Saccharomyces cerevisiae S288C: one gene and its partner. The protein of the gene in region 2 binds, or shares a complex with, the protein of the main gene of each other region. Each region holds a gene or a part of one and is shown on either strand. Other genes may lie near its edges. A codon is read from its position in the direction of its gene.

Region 1 (3,975 bases), on a different chromosome or scaffold from region 2:
AAAGCTTGATTACTGAGCCAGACTGGGGTTCTTTGATTGGGGTACAATGGAACCATTCATAGTTAATTCTTGTACCATACTTGAAGTATTCAACCGCAGCGATCAGCAATAATGAAATGAAGCAAACGCGGAATAAATTAAAAATTTTTGGTTTTGGCTTAGCAGCTGATTTTGTAGTTATGATGGGAGTGGGTTGAGACATTGTACTTACAAACTCGGTAGTTGGAGGTCTTTTTTGATGTGCAAAATTGTAGAAGCAGCTCTATTGTTTTCTTTTTTTTTAATGGTTTCATTTTTCTAGAATTTAGTTCTTCCTCCCCTTCGGTGGAAAAAGTTAAGGATGGTATTACGTAAAACAGTATGATGTTATGAAATGAATAAAAGAAAAGAAGCAAAACTTACAAATGGTTAAGACTACAATATATAACGTAACATAGATAAAAACGTATATATTTCGATCGTAGCTGATAATAAAAACGGTATGCCTACACATACACGCTTTATAAGGAGAAACCACCGTGGATCCATTCGTTAACCATACTTAAGGCGTTTTCAGGGACGTCAAATGGAACCATGTGGCCACCATTGAAGACTCTCAAATAGGTGAAGTGCTTGTAGGATTTGACTTCACCAGCGACCTCGTCGGTGATAGAAGCAGTCCAGTTACGTACTTTTTGGCTTGCAAATTCTTCGTCGTACTTCCATGGCAAGACATCCGTCCACGCCTTATTACCCAACCAGTTACAGATGAAATCTTTATCGCCTGCATATACCAGAATGGGTAGGTCTTGATTCAAAAGATCTGTTACGGCGGTGTGGTAAGGCTTCATCCAATCACCCGCAAACAGGAAATTTCTGTTGATATCGAAGTTACAGGATTCGTAGTGGTCAACCTCCGCACCGACAGCTTCTTTGACGTAGTCCTGGTTTAAGTAGTCGTCGATATCTTGTAACGTTGGGTAGCACAAATTGCCACCTTCACAATCCTTCCTGATATCGTAAACGTTTCTGCCGGTACGTTGGTAAGGAGCCAATTGGGCGTTATTACAATAAATGGTAGCTGGAACACAGGACCAGACGGATTGCGAGTCATAGCACGACTCGATCAAGCCCAAACAACGTTCCAAAGAGTCTTCCATAGCAGAGCATTCCTCCGAGGGCAAAACAGATGGTTCGCCACCTTCACCACAGGCCATTGGTTCGTAATAGTTATACTGAGTCAATGGGTCAGTGAGGCCATTTCCGATCAAGACGGAGGTTAAGTTGAAGTTTCTGTCCTTGTGAGACAAAATTTCAGAGGCAAAAACAGGGATGTAATGGCCGGCGTAGGATTCCCCAGCGATGTGGAAATCTTGGCCCTTGTTGACGTATTCAGGGAACTGATCGAAGAACAACTCCAAGAAGTTATAGACATCCTTACCAGCGGCGACAGTGTTGGAAACACCTGAGGACCCGGAATACGAGAACCCAACGTTGACAGGCTGGTCAAGGAAGATCACGGTGGCATTGCTGTTCCAAGAGTAAGGGTTCCCGATGGGTTTCAAATCAGGTCCAATGGATGAGGGTCCTAATTCAAAGAACAGCCCGGTTAGTGAAGAACAACCTGGACCCCCGTTCAACCAAAGGATGACCGGATCCTTTGCAGGATCGTTTCTACTTTCAAAAGTCCAAAAGAAGAAATGCTTGTCCTCGTCTTCCACATCCAAGTAACCCGTGTACTGTGTGACATTTGGGTCAATGCCCAGGATTTTAGGGTCCTTAATCTTGTTGACACGAAGCTGATAGTTTTCAATTGCGTCATTCTTGACCACAAAGTCCCAGTCTTTCTTCGTTTTGATTGCTTCAGGGAATTTTGGCTTAGTGGAAGTTTCAAGGCTCATAACCTGGTTTGGGTACAAATGCTCTATTTGGGCCCAAGCGTCCAATACATTGGAGTCCAACTCCTTCAAGAGATGATCCAGGTCGAGGTCCAAACCAAATTTTTCCGCAGCTTGCAGCAAAACGTCCTTATCTAGACCCAACGGTCTTTGCAATGAGATGGCCTTAGCGAGTGTAGTGGACAGGCCTAGTCCACATAGTAAACTGGTGAATGCTTTCATAGCGTATGTATACTTTAAGTTGAGTAGAAAAGAAACAATCTCTAGTGAGTATTCTTTCTCTCTCTCTCTCTTGTCTTGTTAAGACTAGGAGGGAAGACGAAAAGAATTATTTCGGAGCTTTTTTGCTGGCATTCTTATCTCGTGCTTTTATTAGTGGGCCCCTTCTTTGAGACCCCGCGGGTGATATGGCCCCTGTCTCAATGATGGATAAAGTTGTTGGAAGCAATTACCAAGACAATCACAAACGAAGGTTGCTACCGAAGTGTACTGGATGACCAACATCGCTATGATTAAATAAGACTATACATAATAGACAAGGGTGGCGCGGCTCCATTCCCAGGGAGACACAAACACGAGGTAAGTCTCAAAAAACCGAAGTTTCGCTCTAAAACTGCACGTAAAGGTCGTGGTATTGACTACAACCATTGACTGTTACATTGTGTAGAAGAAAGGTCCTCACATACTGCTCTGTCAATATGGCTTCTTGTGCAGAAGGTCAATATGTACTATTTCCATGAACCCACAAAATAAGGGAAAAAAAACACTGGAAATAACCGCCACACATACCGTATAAAAGTACATCTCTTTATACGAGTTACTTACTAGACCCTAACCAATGCCTTCAAAAAACAGGACAGACCCTAAAAACTACCATAAGAGACCTAACATATGTATCATCATATACGGAAATCGATTTCGCGTATTTTTTTTTTTTTGAGGCGCCATGATTTCTTACACGGTTTCTTTTTTTTTTCCTTCTTTCCTTCTTGCTTCTCTGCTAACAAATTTTTCACTCATTCTTTTTTATAGGGGCATATTGCTGCGGTTAACTGTAGTGAACGAAAGTAAGATTGAGAAAATATAGTACTTAAGAAAAAGAAAAGGAAAAATAAAAAAAATTCTTTTCAACATCATCGAGTAGCACAGTATAAGAGCGCTCTAACCTTCTGCCTGGCCTCCAATATACACATTTTGCTCGTGTAGGGTTATTTATCCTTTTTTCTTCCTTCCCACCCAAAAAAAAAAAGCAATGGCACACATCCCAGAGGTTTTACCCAAATCAATACCGATTCCGGCATTTATTGTTACCACCTCATCGTACCTATGGTACTACTTCAATCTGGTGTTGACTCAAATCCCGGGAGGCCAATTCATCGTTTCGTACATCAAGAAATCGCATCATGACGATCCATACAGGACCACGGTTGAGATAGGGCTTATTTTATACGGGATCATCTATTACTTGTCCAAGCCACAACAGAAAAAGAGTCTTCAAGCACAGAAGCCCAACCTATCGCCCCAGGAGATTGACGCGCTAATTGAGGACTGGGAGCCCGAGCCTCTAGTCGACCCTTCTGCCACCGATGAGCAATCGTGGAGGGTGGCCAAAACACCCGTCACCATGGAAATGCCCATTCAGAACCATATTACTATCACCAGAAACAACCTGCAGGAGAAGTATACCAATGTTTTCAATTTGGCCTCGAACAACTTTTTGCAATTGTCCGCTACGGAGCCCGTGAAAGAAGTGGTCAAGACCACTATCAAGAATTACGGTGTGGGCGCCTGTGGTCCCGCCGGGTTCTACGGTAACCAGGACGTTCATTACACGTTGGAATATGATTTAGCACAGTTCTTTGGCACCCAAGGTTCCGTTCTGTACGGGCAAGACTTTTGTGCCGCACCCTCTGTTCTGCCTGCTTTCACAAAGCGTGGTGATGTTATCGTGGCAGACGACCAGGTGTCATTACCAGTGCAAAATGCTCTGCAACTAAGCAGATCCACAGTCTACTACTTCAACCACAACGATATGAATTCGCTAGAATGTTTATTAAACGAGTTGACCGAACAGGAGAAACTTGAGAAACTGCCCGCC
Region 2 (10,489 bases):
GCTCAGGACTTTGATTTCTGCATGCTTCACGATCTGCGCATACTCCTCGATGGTTTTAGATTTGTTATTTTCTGCAATTTGCTTAGCAATTATTTCTTGCGTGTTTCTCCTTGAAATGGAAGAGATTCGTTTCTCTTGGCTTGTTTTCTGTTTTTTCGTACTGCTTGGAATTGAGGGGAAGGTATTGGTACGTTTGGCAGCAGTAGGAGGATTATTGTTTAAGGTTTCCTCTGACTTGAAAGAAAGTGGGTAAGCAGATGAATTCGATCTATTCAGGCTGATAGACGCTGGATACACTGAGTATGTGGCAGGTTGCCGTTGTGTTGCGGGTTGTGCAGGAGGCTGTGTAGGGGTAGGAGATGGTTTATGGGAGCCGGGACCACTACCGATAAGTGGCGGTAATATTGGATTTGGCGTCTCCGGGCGGGGGGAACTTTGGTGTAGCAGGCTGTATATTGACGATGATTTGCTCGCTATGGGCGGGATATTCACTGACATGGGGGGCAAATAAGTGTGTGATGCTGGCGGTGGTTGGCTGCTGTACTTGGGTGCGTTTAAACTGTACCGATTACTGTTTACCGAAGATCCGTTACTTGGACCGTTGCTATTGTCGTTCGAGCCCCGACTAGTAGGTTCAATGTTATTATCACCGGACATGGGCAAATAAAATTCAAAATAATGAACAGACAAAAAACTAGGCGAGAAGATGAAGTACTTGGCAGGTATTTTTCTAGTGAAAAGGTTTTCTGTTGGTTTGCGTTCTTTGAAGATTACCATTTACTGCTATTTTTTTTTTCAACTTTTTCCCAAATCGCCATGACAACACGAAACGACAGGAGAAAAATTACGAAATCAAAAACAGGTTCAACTGTTGCAGCAATAGACACCACAAACGTGCGCAAGAAACCGCAACGAAGGGGAGGTGACCGTGCTTGAAATAAAATCCGAAGATCCATAGGTGAGCCACGAGTTTGATTCCAAACTCGTGGTTTTACCAACGAAGCTGTATATCGTGGAGTGGCGCTACCATTGGACCTTCGTTTCTTCTTTCCCTCTTCCGCACCGTACCAGATAGGAAAAACCGCACCTTCGTTTTTGCATACCTAGATGGTCCTGTAACAAGAATAGAGCTAAAGAAACAAGTATGCGTCGACTGCTGCCACGCCCGGCTGATTTAGGTGCACATCAGCTACCCAGCATACAAAGGGGCTTCCGTACGGTTGATGGTTATTTTTCTTGGTGTGTTGGTGCTGCTGTATCGCTGGTGCTGTCTGCGTTATTACGACTATCGTAGGACAAGGCCTCGAGAGGTGTAGGGTAAATCCCACTTGCACAAAGTATGTACACACTTGATTATCCAAATACCAAGAGAGTGTGGTTCAATTTACGGGCAGCTCGAGCTGCCCGTAAATTGAACCTTCCCCTTCCCCACGCTCAAGGGGTTCCTGCGCCGGTGTTTCAGGGGCAGGACACGCGGGGATCGCTGGCACAGTATATAAACAATAAAAGAACAATGGAGAGAGGAGGCGCCATTCAATATCAGCTCACTAGAGTGCATAGACGTATAGACACAGGAATAAAGATAGAAATAGGGTACCATGGAGCTGCCTTCAATAAATAGCACCACAAGTATATCCGACAACCAGGAGTTAAGGAATTACTATGACAAGTTGCTGTTCAAGAACAATAGTGGCAAGTCGCTAGCGGATTTGCCAGGAAAAATGGCAGATTTTAACGACAACAGCGCTGCTGCGCATCCCCGCTCCAGAGTTGACTTTATCAACGGTTACATCGGTTTCAGAGAGGATAAGCAGTCTCTTCTGGGGCAGAAGAACACTAAAAGGGCCTCGTTCAGCGCATTTGCGGACGAAGGAAGGAAACAGAGCGAGATGAGCATTAACGGGAAGAGCCCTAATTTGTCTCTTTTCTCATTTGAGTTTAACGGCACCCCGACTCAGGACAGAAAGCCATACAAACAGGATTACTTGAATGTGATGAACACTTCGCCTAACAATATTCTTTCTCCCTTAAACAACAGCTCCCAAAAATACTATCCACAGAAACAGCAGCAGCAGCAGCAGCAGCAGCAGCAGCAACAGCAACAAAGCATCTTTGACCCGGGAAGAAGATCTTCCTATATTTCTGATGCGCTGATTCATGGCAATGCGGCTACCCAGCAACCACAATACTCGCAACCTGTATATATTAACAACAACCCATCTTTGCAAGTACCATACACTGCTCCTTCCGAGTATACTCAGCAGCAACAGTACTCGTCACCCTTCAATGCTAGGCGCAACACCCAGCCAGTGCTGAACTTGCATCCGGCAGCCGCTCCCACAAACGATGCCGGATTGGCGGTTGTCGACGGCAAGAATTTGACGTCATCCAAGGAGCTGCATGACTTATATCTTGACTGCGGGTCAAACTATTTTGCTAGTGATAAAGTTTATAAATTTATTGACAGCATAAAGGGAACTTTACGCGGGGATAATGTCTCCGCCTCCAGTTCCAGGATTATAGAGTTTTTGGATTTTTTGAAAAATTGTAATCTGAATTACAACCCACAGTCTGACGCATTCATCTCCACTGCTGTTTCAAACGCTTCGTCGACCGGGGCGGCCAAATCCAAGAACAGCACTTCAATGCATTTGCACTATAAGCCATTAGTGTTAGTATCGTTGAAAAATGGTAAGCTCGAACTGTTGTCTAAACCACAAACGGCCACACTTATACTGAAAAGGGGCGATTTGGTCATTATTGATGGTGATCGTGGTAAAGATTTAGTTTTGGTGGTGGAACCGGTTGTAGATATAAATTTGGCACTATTTATAAATTTTTTGAAGAAAAAAATTCACTTTGATTCTCTAATCACCAATAGTCAACAGCATTTCCCCAATGACCAGTTTATCAAGACTCTGGTTGATACAACCAATGGTAAGCCGGTCGCTCATGAGTTGAATCCGAAGTTATATGATATCATTGAACTAACGCAATTGATCATCCCATCAAAGCAGGTTCTGAGATTTGCCACCCCGTGGGAATCCTCCACGAATTTACACAACAAATTCCAGGATGAGCTAAAGGCTCTTCACATTGCACAGCTAAAACTGAGGTCGCTAAATAACAATAACTCCGGTGGCGGGTTGAACATCAAAATATTGAATGCAGAGTTCCAATTCGACAGAAAGAAATTGACTTTCTACTACATTTGCCAGGAGCGTAATGATTTCAGAGACCTGATCAAAGAACTCTTTAAGTTTTACAAAACAAGAATTTGGCTTTGTGCTATACCGAACAATTTATCGATAGATTCCAAATTTTATGATTCAAACAAGTTTGAGTGGGAGATGTATCAGGATATGATGTCCCACTATTCCATGGACAACACTGGAATTGTCGTGGCCCCTGAACTGAATCGCTTGAAACTGGACGACTTCCAGATCGGTGTTTATATGGAATTGGTGAAGGTTTTGTTCGGCTAACCCAAACTTATATAATCATTATAAACATTTTATAAACTTATACACTTTTTTAATAATCTCACCATGTTTTTCTTATGTGTTTTGTTTGACAATGACATTACTCCCTACAAACATGTGCGCGTTTGTGACAAAAACATAAATAAAACAAAAATAATAAAAAGTCAAGTGAAAAGCACTGAAATCTAAAAAATAAATACATATACATATATATATATATATACCTATTTCGTTTCCGCATAGAAGAAATTGGAGGCAACTAGTTGCAGGTTGTTTTCCTTAGCCCATTTGCCAACACCGGTGGCAGGGGTGCCGTAACCCCAGTTCGGTCTATCCTTAATTTTCGAGAACTTAGATGAGTCCACGCCCTTAGGCTGCTTATATAACAAGAAAACATATCTGTGGGGACCGGATCCCTTGGGTGGAGCTGGTCCCATATATTCTATTAGTGTGTTCGAGCCCTTCGTATTGAACTCTGATGCAAAAAATTCGGTTGCTCCGGAGGTCTCGTGAGTAGCCTCATTCAACAGCTTTAAGTCGCATTCTACCAAGTGGCAGAATTCAGACCACTTGTGATCTGTCTTAGAGGGAGCATCCGGATCGGTCATTACCAGTGTGAACAAATCGTCGTCTTGGGGAACGTACGCATTCGCCTGTGGTACGCTTTTTTGCATTTGCTTATTGAACGTGAACTGGAATTGGGGCTTGGAACGTGCCTTCTCAGTGGGCAGCGTGTTACCCATGGCAACAGGTGCACTTGATGAGTACTCTACGGCAAGTATCCCGGAGGGTTGAAAGCTTGTGTCATGAATTACATCCTCCAGAATGCCGTGCTTCTTGTAGGAGTCAATGCTTGCTTGTGCGAAGTCTATTGCTTGGTTCATGTTTTTTGCTTGTTCTCTTGTTCTTGTATTGATGCACTGGTAGGGAAAAGGAGCACTGCAATTCGTTTCTTGCTGCCCCCTTTTTATATACCAATTGAGATCTTTCCTTCCCTGAACAGCCCCTCTATCCCTTAAAAGATAGAAAAGTTCAAAGGGATAGGAAAAATCAACGAGCCAAAAAAAAAAAAAACGGAACCGTTCGGCATGTATATATTCACTATTTCATATACGCGTTTGCACAATATACTCTATCTTATCCGTATCTATACGAGCCGGTTGCTGCACCTTACATGTCATAGTTGAAATCAACGGTCGTGTTTTCGACCATGTAATAATTGGCACCGACCAGTTGCAGATTGTTCTCCTTGATATAGTCATAGGCACCCGCACCAGGAGTACCGTACCCCCAGGAGATAATGTTCTCAACCTTGGTAAAAGTGGACGAATCCGCTCCCTTGGGTTGCTTGCACAGGAAGAACACGTATCTGTGATAACCGGAGTTCTTTGGTGGACCAGGCCCAATATAGTTATTTCTCACGACACCCTTCCCCGAAATGGCAATATCTCCCCCAGGTCCGTACTCGACAGGAATATCAGTGATGATGTAGTGACAAACCTCCGACCACTTATGTTCTGTTCTAGAGGGCGCGTCCGGGTCAGTCATCAACAAAGCGAGTTTATCCTCGGCTGACAATTGGCTTTTATCGAAGGGCGTGAACTTGATGGTAGGAGCGGCTTGCGTAGCTTCCATTGGCATGGGATTGCCCAATTTGATGTCGTCAGAATCAACGTACGAAACCGACAACTCACCAAGAATCTCGAACGCCAAGTCCTTGACGGTGTCCTTAATGATGTCCTCTTTGTTCAGTTTAGCAACGATGGCACTAGACATAATATATATTTCTATTACTAAGTACTCGGATGGGTACCGAAAGTGGCAGATGGGCAGTGTTTACTCAAACAATTGATGGCAACATTCAATTCCTCACCTGGTGCGCACTTCCAATAATGAGCACGCTTGGCACTTTTATATTGTTCAAAAAAATGTCAGGCAAGATCTTTTGAAAAAAAGGTACCGAAACGGACGTAAGACGGAAATAGAATTTGAAGATAAAGTTATATATCACTACACACGAATACTTTCTTTTTTTTTTTTCACAGGAAAACTGTGGTGGCGCCCTTGCCTACTAGTGCATTTCTTTTTTCGGGTTCTTGTCTCGAGGAAATTTTAGCCTCATCGTAGTTTTTCACTCTGGTATCGATGAAAAAGGGAAGAGTAAAAAGTTTTCCGTTTAGTACTTAATGGGATTGGTTTGGGACGTATATATCGACTGGTGTTGTCTGTTATTCATCGTTGTTTTTCGGTTAGCTTCGAAAAAAAAATAGAGTAAAAACCAGGAATTTACCCTAAAAACAAGAAAAAATAAGATAAACGAAAATATGGCCGGTACATTTTTATTCACTTCTGAATCCGTTGGTGAAGGTCACCCAGATAAGATCTGTGACCAAGTTTCCGACGCCATCTTGGACGCTTGTTTAGCCGAGGACCCTCACTCCAAAGTTGCGTGTGAAACCGCGGCAAAGACTGGTATGATTATGGTCTTTGGTGAAATTACTACCAAGGCACAGTTGGATTACCAAAAAATCGTCAGAGACACCATCAAGAAGATTGGTTACGATGATTCCGCCAAGGGTTTCGACTATAAGACCTGTAACGTCCTTGTCGCCATTGAGCAACAATCTCCAGATATCGCCCAAGGTGTCCACGAGGAGAAGGATTTGGAAGACATCGGTGCCGGTGACCAAGGTATCATGTTTGGTTACGCCACAGATGAAACTCCAGAGGGTTTGCCTTTGACTATTCTTTTGGCTCATAAACTAAACATGGCCATGGCTGACGCGAGAAGAGATGGCTCTTTAGCGTGGTTGAGACCAGACACCAAGACTCAAGTCACCGTCGAATACAAGGATGACCACGGTAGATGGGTTCCACAAAGAATCGACACCGTCGTCGTCTCCGCTCAACATGCTGACGAAATCACGACCGAGGACTTAAGAGCGCAACTAAAGTCCGAGATCATTGAAAAAGTCATCCCAAGAGACATGTTGGACGAAAACACCAAATACTTTATCCAACCTTCCGGTAGATTCGTCATCGGTGGTCCTCAAGGTGACGCTGGTTTGACCGGTAGAAAGATCATCGTCGACGCTTACGGTGGTGCCTCATCCGTCGGTGGTGGTGCCTTCTCCGGTAAGGACTACTCTAAGGTTGATCGTTCTGCCGCTTATGCCGCTAGATGGGTTGCCAAGTCCCTAGTTGCCGCTGGTTTATGTAAGAGAGTTCAAGTTCAATTTTCTTATGCCATCGGTATTGCGGAACCATTGTCCTTGCACGTTGACACCTATGGTACTGCGACCAAGTCTGACGAAGAAATTATCGACATTATCAGCAAGAACTTTGACTTGAGACCTGGTGTATTGGTCAAGGAGTTGGACTTAGCTAGACCAATCTACTTGCCAACCGCTTCTTATGGCCATTTCACAAACCAAGAATACCCATGGGAAAAGCCTAAGACTTTGAAGTTCTAAGCTTTTTTCCTTTTGGACTTTTTTCTGCCTTCAACCTCCCATGTTTTCATTTGCTCAACACAAGTCAACATGTACATTATACCGTATTTGATGCAGGGACGCAATACCATCATATTCTTGATATAGACTCATTTTTCTCAAATCAAATTTGTATCGATTTCATTTTGCATTATACAGGATTCCTTTTCCTTTCTAACATTTAATACGTAACTACTAATATTAATATATACCTCCTTCAACGGATCAACAAACCAAACTTTATCTTATTCAAATAGAATTTAACAGATCCAACGCCTTAGTTAACTCATCTTTGGCGGTGGGCAGGTCTTCATAATTCAATGCGCTTATGGCGTATTTGGCAAGTTTTTGAATTTGCTCTATTTTACTGGCCCTGTCCATAATTTTTGTCAACTCATCCTTTGTATACGATTTATGCTCTGCTGCAGCAGGTTCTGATGGTGCAGAAGGGCGCGTAAGATCCACTTCTTTCTTCACAACTTGTTGTTCGTCTTTTGTTATTGCATCTTCGTTCTTGTCGACGGTCTGTTCTTCTTCGTTTACGCTATCGGCATCATCAATAAATTCAGGTACCTCATCCACAGGCTCGTATGATGTTGTTTGGTCTTTTGGGGCTAGGCCTTCGACTTTATCATTATTATTGTTTTCCAAATCGCTTGTCTGGTGATCAACATCTTCATCCTTAATCTCCTCGCTATCATCCGCAAAATCTGCATAATCTAACGTTTTCTCGTCGCTGGAACCAATTTCACCCTTTGCCAATTTACTCAAATAAATTTTGCAATACTTAATTCGTTTTTGTAATGAATTTGTACTCGTTTCACTTATATTTTCCTTCCACAGGTGTAAAATGCATGAAAATAAATCAATACAACACCAAAGTGATCTTTTTAACATAACATCCCAGGGACCATCTTTTAGCTGTTTCAGTTTCTCGTTATACAACGACATTGTAAAATTTAGCATATAAATTTTGGCTTTTTCTTGATCATGTATTAGCGTGTTCATAACGTGTAAGCTTTTGTCACTGTCTTCTGCTTCACTCTCGCCGCCAATCTCCTTCTTAAACGCTTCAATAGTATCAAGAAGTTCTGTCGCTAGTGCGGTCATCTCTTGCGACCGATCTTCTTCACTCAGTATCAATTCCACCGCATATAACTGAAGATAGTATCCGATGATCCCTAACCCAACTTTGTCAAAATCCTTCGCTGTAGCGACAACCCTTGCAGCGTTACTAGCCATAGAATTTATTTAAAATGTGGACAATTAGTTTCTAAAAATTGAATCAAATAAAATAAGAAAGCTTATTGTTCCTTTTTTTGTCTTCATCTGGACCGTTTGGATAAGATCATTCACCAAATCTTAGTTTTTTTTTTTAGTTTCCTTCTCCAACGATTTCATAATAATAAAAAAAAACAACAAAAAACACGATTGAGAAACATCAATATGAACTAAGCAATAGCTAAAAAAAAAAGAATAATAAAGGGGAACACAGTATAATTCTCGAGAGGATGGCGTTGGAAGAAGTGGTACGATACTTAGGACCTCACAATGAGATCCCTTTGACACTCACTAGAGACTCGGAGACTGGCCATTTCCTCCTGAAACATTTTCTGCCCATTTTGCAGCAATATCATGACACGGGGAATATTAACGAGACCAACCCCGATAGTTTCCCCACTGATGAGGAAAGAAATAAATTACTGGCACATTATGGAATTGCTGTAAATACAGACGACCGAGGTGAGTTATGGATAGAGCTGGAAAAATGTTTACAATTATTAAACATGCTAAATTTATTCGGTTTGTTCCAGGATGCATTCGAATTTGAGGAGCCTGAAACAGATCAGGATGAAGAAGATCCCAGCCATTCGAAACTACCAGAAAACAAGACCAAAAGTGAAAATTCTAAGGATAATATCAGCTCAAAGAGGATTAATAATTTACAAGATATGAGCCTGGATTCTGATGCACACAGAGAATTAGGCTCTCCTTTAAAAAAACTAAAAATAGATACCTCTGTAATAGATGCTGAGAGTGACTCCACTCCGAATACTGCCAGAGGCAAGCCTAACGATGATATTAATAAGGGCCCTAGCGGCGACAATGAAAATAATGGCACTGATGACAATGACAGAACCGCTGGACCTATCATAACATTCACTCATGACCTAACTTCTGACTTTTTAAGCAGTCCACTGAAAATCATGAAAGCACTACCTTCTCCAGTTGTAAATGATAATGAACAGAAGATGAAACTAGAGGCATTCTTACAACGGTTGTTATTTCCAGAAATTCAAGAAATGCCTACATCCCTTAATAATGACAGCAGTAATAGAAATTCAGAAGGGGGGAGCTCAAACCAACAACAACAGCACGTATCATTTGATAGCCTTTTGCAAGAGGTAAACGACGCTTTTCCTAATACTCAATTAAATCTTAATATTCCTGTAGATGAGCATGGAAACACACCATTACATTGGCTGACTTCAATAGCAAACCTGGAATTAGTGAAACACCTGGTTAAGCATGGTTCAAACAGATTATATGGTGATAATATGGGGGAGTCATGCCTAGTGAAAGCTGTCAAATCAGTAAATAATTACGACTCTGGTACTTTTGAGGCACTTCTAGATTATTTATATCCATGTTTAATTTTGGAAGACTCAATGAATAGAACAATTTTGCACCATATCATTATTACGTCTGGTATGACTGGCTGTTCAGCAGCTGCGAAATATTATTTAGATATTTTAATGGGATGGATTGTCAAGAAACAAAATAGACCCATTCAAAGTGGTACTAACGAAAAAGAAAGCAAACCGAATGACAAAAATGGGGAAAGAAAGGACTCTATACTAGAAAATTTGGACCTGAAATGGATAATAGCAAACATGCTCAATGCGCAGGACTCTAATGGCGATACTTGCTTGAACATTGCAGCAAGATTGGGAAACATTTCAATAGTAGACGCTTTATTAGATTACGGTGCTGACCCATTTATTGCAAACAAATCAGGGTTGAGACCCGTGGATTTTGGGGCAGGTACTTCAAAATTACAAAATACGAACGGCGGTGACGAAAACTCGAAGATGGTCTCTAAGGGTGATTACGACGGTCAAAAAAATGGAAAGGCCAAAAAAATAAGGTCTCAACTGTTGAAAAACCCACCTGAAACAACTTCGTTAATTAATGATGTCCAAAATTTACTGAATTCAATCTCGAAAGATTATGAGAATGAAACAGTGCAATATAATGAGAAATTAGAAAAACTACACAAGGAATTGAACGAACAGCGAGAAGAATTAGCTAATTCTAGAGAACAACTAGCAAATGTGAAGCAATTGAAAGATGAATACTCACTAATGCAAGAGCAATTGACCAATTTAAAAGCAGGAATTGAAGAAGAAGAGGAAAGTTTTAGGGAAGAGAGCAAAAAGCTAGGAATAATTGCAGATGAAAGTTCAGGTATTGATTGGGACTCTAGCGAATATGATGCAGATGAACCCTTCAAAG

The links.
Region 1: the proteins of TFS1 (region 2) and PRC1 are in contact, whole or in part, in a crystal structure (PDB 1WPX), measured with the Saccharomyces cerevisiae proteins. Residues at the interface, in NP_013279.1 of Saccharomyces cerevisiae: Met1 (codon at 4,366), Asn2 (codon at 4,363), Gln3 (codon at 4,360), Ala4 (codon at 4,357), Ile5 (codon at 4,354), Phe7 (codon at 4,348), Ala10 (codon at 4,339), Ser11 (codon at 4,336), Asp13 (codon at 4,330), Ser14 (codon at 4,327), Lys17 (codon at 4,318), His18 (codon at 4,315), Ile35 (codon at 4,264), Ala37 (codon at 4,258), Val38 (codon at 4,255), Glu39 (codon at 4,252), Pro45 (codon at 4,234), Val46 (codon at 4,231), Ala47 (codon at 4,228), Met48 (codon at 4,225), Gly49 (codon at 4,222), Asn50 (codon at 4,219), Thr51 (codon at 4,216), Gln62 (codon at 4,183), Phe63 (codon at 4,180), Gln64 (codon at 4,177), Thr66 (codon at 4,171), Asn68 (codon at 4,165), Gln70 (codon at 4,159), Phe133 (codon at 3,970); in NP_014026.1 of Saccharomyces cerevisiae: Gly164 (codon at 1,610), Ser217 (codon at 1,451), Ser221 (codon at 1,439), Ser257 (codon at 1,331), Tyr258 (codon at 1,328), Leu289 (codon at 1,235), Arg327 (codon at 1,121), Leu331 (codon at 1,109), Val341 (codon at 1,079), Trp342 (codon at 1,076), Val345 (codon at 1,067), Pro346 (codon at 1,064), Thr348 (codon at 1,058), Ile349 (codon at 1,055), Tyr350 (codon at 1,052), Asn352 (codon at 1,046), Asn353 (codon at 1,043), Leu356 (codon at 1,034), Ala357 (codon at 1,031), Gln360 (codon at 1,022), Arg361 (codon at 1,019), Val366 (codon at 1,004), Tyr367 (codon at 1,001), Cys373 (codon at 983), Asn377 (codon at 971), Cys379 (codon at 965), Cys409 (codon at 875), Asn410 (codon at 872), Phe411 (codon at 869), Asp412 (codon at 866).

What each region holds. Positions count from the first base shown.
Region 1 is NC_001145.3:860,046-864,020, reverse strand, and holds PRC1 (carboxypeptidase C PRC1), read right to left. Parts: upstream 2,100-3,975; coding exon 501-2,099; downstream 1-500. Other genes in the region: sphingosine N-acyltransferase subunit LIP1, read right to left, coding at 1-202; serine C-palmitoyltransferase LCB1, read left to right, coding at 3,130-3,975. UniProt on the Saccharomyces cerevisiae protein: Vacuolar serine-type carboxypeptidase involved in degradation of small peptides. Digests preferentially peptides containing an aliphatic or hydrophobic residue in P1' position, as well as methionine, leucine or phenylalanine in P1 position of ester substrate.
Region 2 is NC_001144.5:509,456-519,944, forward strand, and holds TFS1 (Tfs1p), read right to left. Parts: upstream 4,367-10,489; coding exon 3,707-4,366; downstream 1-3,706. Other genes in the region: RFX1 (Rfx1p), read right to left, coding at 1-777; YLR177W (uncharacterized protein), read left to right, coding at 1,599-3,485; YLR179C (uncharacterized protein), read right to left, coding at 4,653-5,258; methionine adenosyltransferase SAM1, read left to right, coding at 5,807-6,955; VTA1 (Vta1p), read right to left, coding at 7,223-8,215; transcriptional regulator SWI6, read left to right, coding at 8,485-10,489. UniProt on the Saccharomyces cerevisiae protein: Specific and potent inhibitor of carboxypeptidase Y.